Linked DNA regions of Arabidopsis thaliana. The protein of the gene in region 1 interacts with the protein of each later gene in a pairwise test. Each region holds a gene or a part of one and is shown in the gene's direction. Other genes may lie near its edges.

Region 1 (3,754 bases):
TTTAAAATCTGGATGACGTTATGCAGAAGCGGAGAATCATCACTGTGAACCCCTCCGCGTCTATTGAGATGAGTCAGTACGAGAATAATGAAGTTCCTTACTCAAGTGTCGGTGCTGATGAGGTTCCATCATCACCGCCTAAAGCTACCGATAAGATTCGGAAAGTTTCCATGTTGCCACTTGTTTTCCTCATATTCTATGAAGTCTCAGGAGGTCCTTTTGGTGTAGAGGATAGTGTGAATGCAGCAGGACCATTATTAGCTCTTCTAGGGTTTGTGATCTTTCCTTTCATTTGGAGTATCCCTGAGGCTTTGATTACTGCGGAGATGGGAACAATGTATCCCGAGAATGGTGGTTATGTTGTGTGGGTTTCCTCTGCTTTGGGACCTTTTTGGGGGTTTCAGCAAGGTTGGATGAAATGGCTTAGTGGTGTTATTGATAACGCTTTGTATCCTGTTCTGTTTCTTGACTATTTGAAGTCTGGAGTCCCGGCTTTAGGTAGCGGTTTACCGAGAGTTGCATCGATCTTGGTGCTGACTATTTTGTTGACGTATCTGAACTACAGGGGACTAACTATAGTTGGTTGGGTTGCTGTGCTTATGGGAGTTTTCTCCATCCTTCCGTTTGCTGTGATGGGTTTGATTTCGATTCCGCAGCTAGAGCCTTCGAGATGGCTTGTGATGGACTTAGGGAATGTGAACTGGAATTTGTATCTTAACACGCTTTTCTGGAATCTAAACTATTGGGACTCGATTAGTACACTAGCTGGTGAAGTTGAAAACCCCAACCATACACTTCCAAAGGCTTTGTTTTATGGTGTGATCTTAGTTGCTTGTTCTTACATCTTCCCTCTTTTGGCTGGAATCGGGGCAATCCCGCTAGAGCGTGAGAAATGGACAGATGGGTATTTTTCTGATGTGGCCAAAGCTCTTGGTGGAGCGTGGTTGAGATGGTGGGTTCAAGCGGCTGCAGCTACATCAAACATGGGAATGTTTATAGCCGAGATGAGTAGTGACTCTTTTCAGCTTCTCGGAATGGCTGAGCGCGGTATGCTTCCCGAGTTCTTTGCCAAAAGGTCACGTTACGGGACACCTTTACTAGGGATTCTGTTTTCAGCGTCAGGTGTTGTTCTCTTGTCTTGGCTAAGCTTTCAAGAGATTGTAGCTGCAGAGAACTTACTCTACTGCGTTGGTATGATCTTAGAGTTTATAGCGTTTGTTAGAATGAGAATGAAACACCCTGCTGCATCAAGACCGTACAAGATACCTATTGGAACCACAGGTTCGATCCTCATGTGTATTCCTCCAACCATACTGATCTGTGCTGTTGTAGCACTCTCGTCTCTTAAAGTAGCTGCAGTGAGCATTGTGATGATGATCATTGGTTTCCTGATACATCCTTTACTGAACCATATGGATCGAAAGAGATGGGTCAAATTCTCCATCAGTTCTGACTTACCGGACCTTCAACAGCAGACTCGGGAATACGAAGAAACTCTAATACGTTAAGAATGTCCTTAGTTATTTCCCTCGTCTATGTTAAGTACAGAGCTTGGAAGCTATAGCCAAAAAAGCTTAATTTCTCATAGTCTGTACTCTGTTTTATTCACAGCTTGTTCTAAAGTTGTAGTTTTTTCGTAAAGTTAGGTCATCGTTAGCACGGTTCCAATAAAATGTGCAATGTTTGTATCTCTGTTATGTTTTTGTCGTTGCCATTGTCGATTTGAAACATGGCTTTGGAAATTTGAAGTCTTTGAACAAAACCTTCGATCAAAGTCTGGTCAACAGTTGCAAAGCTTGGATCTTTGGATAAGTTTTCATCACCAATGATTGGAAAGAGAGAAAAAACCCTCACAAAACCCCAAAAAGCAGTATCAGTGTTTGACACGCAAACAAAATCGCTATAGTCTCAATTGATCGGAGGTTCTATCACCATCGTCTCCATCTGCATAATTTATTAAATATTTAGGACTTGTCATTGATATGGACACTCTCAAAACAGAGAACCACAATTTCTTCAATCCTTTCCAGGATATGACAAGTACAACGATATGGGTGAGTTTTGTTTTCTTCTTAAAGCATCGCTCAATCTTCAGACAACCCTAGATTCTCTCACGGTTTGTACTTCTTTACCTCTCGTAAATGTTTAGACTTTCGTATAAGGATCCAAGAATTTATCTGATTGTTTTTTTTTCTTTGTTTCTTTGTGTTGATTCAGAAGGGAAGTATCATTAGTTCATTACCATGGGAGACTATAACATGAATGAATTTGCTTATGGTAATCTTTACGATGATGATGATGGCGATGTTGGTGGATCGTCTAAAGAAGGAAACAATTCGATTCAGAAAGTTTCAATGTTACCACTCGTTTTCCTCATATTCTACGAAGTCTCAGGAGGTCCTTTCGGTGCTGAAGGTAGTGTGAATGCAGCAGGACCATTGTTAGCTCTTTTAGGGTTTGTGATCTTCCCTTTCATTTGGTGTATCCCTGAGGCACTAATCACTGCGGAGATGAGTACAATGTTTCCAATAAACGGCGGTTTTGTTGTTTGGGTCTCCTCTGCTTTGGGAACCTTTTGGGGGTTTCAAGTAGGTTGGATGAAATGGCTTTGCGGTGTTATTGATAACGCTTTGTATCCTGTTCTTTTCCTCGATTATTTGAAGTCCGCGGTCCCGGCTTTAGCTACTGGTTTGCCAAGAGTTGCATCGATCTTGATCTTGACTCTATTGCTTACTTACTTAAACTATAGAGGACTAACCATTGTTGGTTGGACCGCTGTGTTTATGGGAGTTTTCTCTATGCTTCCGTTTGCTGTAATGAGTCTGGTTTCTATTCCGCAGCTCGAGCCTTCGAGATGGCTTGTGATGGATTTAGGAAATGTCAACTGGAACTTGTATCTCAACACGCTTTTATGGAATCTGAACTACTGGGATTCGGTTAGTACACTGGCCGGTGAAGTGGCAAATCCGAAGAAAACACTTCCTAAGGCTTTGTGTTACGGTGTTATCTTTGTCGCTCTTTCGAACTTCCTCCCTCTTTTGTCTGGAACCGGGGCTATACCGTTGGATCGTGAGTTATGGACAGATGGATATCTAGCTGAGGTTGCTAAAGCCATCGGTGGAGGATGGTTACAATTGTGGGTTCAAGCGGCTGCAGCTACATCAAACATGGGAATGTTTTTAGCCGAAATGAGTAGTGATTCCTTTCAGCTACTTGGAATGGCTGAACTCGGTATACTTCCCGAGATCTTTGCGCAAAGATCTCGCTACGGGACACCTTTACTAGGGATTCTGTTTTCAGCCTCAGGTGTTTTACTCTTGTCAGGATTAAGCTTTCAAGAGATTATAGCTGCAGAGAATTTGCTTTACTGTGGTGGAATGATTTTGGAGTTTATAGCATTTGTTAGACTGAGGAAGAAACATCCGGCTGCATCGAGACCGTATAAGATACCTGTTGGAACCGTTGGTTCGATTCTGATATGTGTCCCTCCGATTGTACTGATATGTTTGGTTATTGTTCTATCTACTATTAAAGTGGCTCTTGTGAGCTTTGTGATGGTGGTCATTGGTTTCTTGATGAAACCTTGTTTAAATCATATGGATGGAAAGAAATGGGTCAAATTCTCAGTCTGTTCTGATTTGGCAGAGTTTCAGAAGGAGAATTTGGATTGTGAAGAGTCTTTGTTACGTTAGGGATACAAAGGTAAAAAAGCTTGGAACCTATAGTCAAACTCAAACAAACTGTATATCTTTCT
Region 2 (3,754 bases), 8.4 Mb from region 1:
AGCTAGAGATACACCGGCACGGACCAACGCTGAGAATCCAGAAACGAGAGAACGTGAACGATTCAACAACGAAGACGCAGATCGAGAAACAGTAGGGGAATTGGCGAGAGGAGATGACGAAGAGAAGGAACGAGTGAACAGTGAGGAAAAGGATTTAGCTGGCCGGTGAAGGATGGAACGAGAAATCGCCATTGGAAGATGATAAAAATGGAGAGGTTTTAGTGAAAATGGAAAAACCCCAAGCATAAATGGGTTTAGATGGATCTTTCAAATTTCAAGGATATTATGTAAAACTAAAAATTGTAGTACATATCATTACTATTTTACATTATTTTCAAAATCGTCCCATTGTTATTTCAATTGACATGAGAAACCCATTTGTCACGAAATCATCATAAACAACCATATGTTGAATTCTTCTCTTTCGTCGAGGTTAGTAGAGAACATATCTGGTTGCTCAGTGGGAGTGACATTAAAAACGTCGTCTATGTATTGTAGATTAGGTATTTCAATGATACCTAGTTGAGGATCTCTCAAATAGCTTATAATCTTTGGTAGGACAAGATCCTCCATATTCGTATGCAAATGGACATTGGCAAAGTTATGTGGTAGCTCATATTCCCGTTCTGCTAAGGCCATCTTTTTGTGCTCTTCAGAGCAATACCGAGATTCAGGTGCGTAGACACATGTACAAGACCAGTACGCGAAGGCCTTATCTTTATGCACATAATGCATAACACGAAGATTGGCAACACCCATTGCAGAAACCTGCTAATACACATTGTTAGGTCTAGAGAAAAAAACTCTCTCTCGCAACTTTGAAGATTTTGTTTGCTCTTTGGATTGTCGAGATTGTTTCATTTCGTGTTTTTATATTATTTTTTACTTTTAGTTTTGGATTTGAATCTTAGGTTTAAAAAAGAAAAAGAAAAATTGTGATCAAAACGACATGGTTTGATTGAAGATGATGCTAATTCATTAAACATGGGTCATTTGAGTCGACGTATGTTAGTATTAACTAACATTTGTTATTGCAGATCCTAAAATACGTGCGACCTATAAAGTTTGGATATAATTTTTTTTTTTTTATGAATTTGGGTAAAGAATTAACATTGTACAGTATGTTTTATATAAGAAAACAATACTTTGCAAATTGTACTGGTATAAAAATATCGTTTTTCCAGTCACCCGCTTACGTTTGGTCCAAGTTGTTTTTAATTTTATACCGAATTAAAGTTTATTAGTCACAACTTTAAGTGTTTTTTCCAAACCCAAATCAAAATTCGATTTTTTTCGTCACAACTTTGAATCAGCCCCTTCACCTTTGCAGCCACATCTAACCGAATGCCCACCTAGACAACATCTTATAATGCGTCTTTTTATTATTATTATCCAAAAATAATTAAATTAGTGAGGTTTCTTACGTGATTATTCCTTGTTAATTAAACATCTGAATTTCCGTAAGCGAGTTCGAAACACGTAATTAAATATTGTAGGTAATATATAACAACCAAACTGGGTTTCCTCTCTTTCTTTGTTAGAAAAAACTAATAAATTAGATAAAACAAGTTCACCAACAAGGCAAACATTTCACGGTCAATTTTTCAGCTCACCCGAATTTGAGAATCTCTAGACGAAACCAAATCTCTTTCTAACTAATTCTTTTTTTGCTTTTCTTGTACCTCTTCACAATTTCAAAACCCAATTAAAAAAAAAAAAAAAAAAGAACCAACTACATATCTTAATTTCTTAGATATTTTTTTTGGTCAACCAATTTCATTAGAAATTAAAAAATACAAGAAAAACAACAAATGTTTAATTTCATATAAATTTATCTAACTGTATCAATATTATTTACGAACAAATTCTTTATTAAGAAAAACAAATTAAGCATTTTAAGCTTGGAATCATAAATATCTTTGGTTTAATTTAGTCATAGTCAAGTGCTTTTCGGTTTTCATGGAAGGCAATAAGAGAAAGCTAATAAAGTCTTGAAGCTTTTGAATGTTTGAATAATAAAGGAGAGGTTCCTTAAAGTTTGGTGTGTTAGTTCATCTTCTCTACCATTTATTCTTCACTTAATCTCACACTCTTTGCTCAATTTGTTGATTTCTCTATCTCTCAAAGTTTGATGCTTTCTTTTTCCTTCTTTCTTTCTTAGATGGAATTGCCGGTAAAAGCTCCTATTCCCGGTGGCCGGGAAATCTCATATAGATTAGAAACCAAGAATCTGTCGTATAGAATAGGCGGAAACACTCCAAAGTTTTCTAATTTATGTGGTTTGTTGAGTGAGAAGGAGGAAAAGGTTATCTTAAAGGATGTTTCTTGTGATGCAAGATCCGCGGAGATCACTGCGATCGCGGGTCCAAGCGGAGCAGGGAAAACCACGTTGCTGGAGATTCTAGCCGGAAAAGTTTCTCATGGGAAAGTTTCAGGGCAAGTGCTTGTCAACGGTAGGCCTATGGATGGTCCTGAGTACAGGAGGGTTTCAGGGTTTGTGCCACAAGAAGATGCTCTGTTTCCGTTTCTTACGGTGCAAGAAACACTGACGTACAGCGCACTCTTGAGGCTGAAGACAAAGAGGAAAGACGCGGCTGCAAAGGTGAAGAGGCTGATTCAAGAGCTTGGTCTAGAACATGTTGCGGATTCAAGGATCGGTCAAGGATCAAGATCTGGAATCTCTGGAGGAGAGAGAAGAAGGGTTTCTATTGGAGTTGAACTTGTTCATGATCCAAATGTTATATTGATCGATGAGCCAACCTCTGGTTTGGATTCTGCGTCCGCTCTTCAAGTTGTGACGCTTCTCAAAGATATGACGATTAAACAAGGTAAAACCATTGTTCTGACGATTCACCAGCCTGGTTTTCGCATACTCGAGCAGATAGACCGGATAGTGTTGCTCTCTAACGGGATGGTTGTTCAAAACGGATCAGTTTATAGCCTTCATCAGAAGATTAAGTTCTCCGGTCACCAGATTCCTAGGCGGGTAAATGTCTTGGAGTATGCAATTGATATTGCAGGGAGTCTTGAACCGATCAGAACCCAGAGTTGCAGAGAAATCTCATGTTATGGTCATAGCAAAACATGGAAGAGTTGCTATATTAGTGCAGGAGGAGAGCTTCATCAATCTGATTCTCACAGCAACTCAGTGTTAGAGGAAGTGCAGATACTCGGGCAAAGATCTTGCAAGAACATCTTCAGAACCAAGCAATTGTTCACAACCAGAGCCTTACAAGCTTCCATTGCCGGTCTTATACTGGGGTCGATTTACTTGAACGTAGGAAATCAAAAGAAAGAAGCGAAAGTCTTGCGAACCGGGTTCTTCGCCTTTATCCTCACTTTCCTGCTATCTTCCACAACAGAGGGACTTCCAATTTTCTTGCAAGACAGGAGAATCCTAATGAGAGAGACATCGAGAAGGGCTTACAGAGTTTTGTCTTACGTTTTAGCAGATACTCTCATATTCATTCCCTTCTTGTTGATCATAAGCATGCTCTTTGCTACGCCGGTTTATTGGCTGGTCGGTCTCAGAAGAGAGCTAGACGGCTTCCTCTACTTCTCATTGGTGATATGGATTGTTCTTCTGATGTCAAACTCTTTTGTCGCATGTTTCAGTGCTCTTGTCCCAAACTTCATAATGGGGACATCAGTAATCTCAGGTCTCATGGGATCTTTCTTCCTCTTCTCCGGGTATTTCATTGCAAAGGACAGGATCCCCGTTTACTGGGAGTTCATGCATTATCTCAGCCTCTTC

What was found. Proteins that work in one complex are often made in the same cells at the same time.
Region 2: the proteins of PUT1 (region 1) and ABCG10 interact in a protein complementation assay, tested with the Arabidopsis thaliana proteins (one large-scale study listed by BioGRID).

The regions. Positions count from the first base shown.
Region 1 is NC_003070.9:11,416,629-11,420,382, reverse strand, and holds the start of PUT1 (Amino acid permease family protein), read left to right. Parts: upstream 1-1,918; 5' UTR 1,919-2,116; intron 2,117-2,217; 5' UTR 2,218-2,243; coding exon 2,244-3,692; 3' UTR 3,693-3,754. Other genes in the region: PUT2 (Amino acid permease family protein), read left to right, coding at 21-1,508.
Region 2 is NC_003070.9:19,860,717-19,864,470, forward strand, and holds the start of ABCG10 (ABC-2 type transporter family protein), read left to right. Parts: upstream 1-2,104; 5' UTR 2,105-2,161; coding exon 2,162-3,754. Other genes in the region: AT1G53265 (uncharacterized protein), read right to left, coding at 382-759.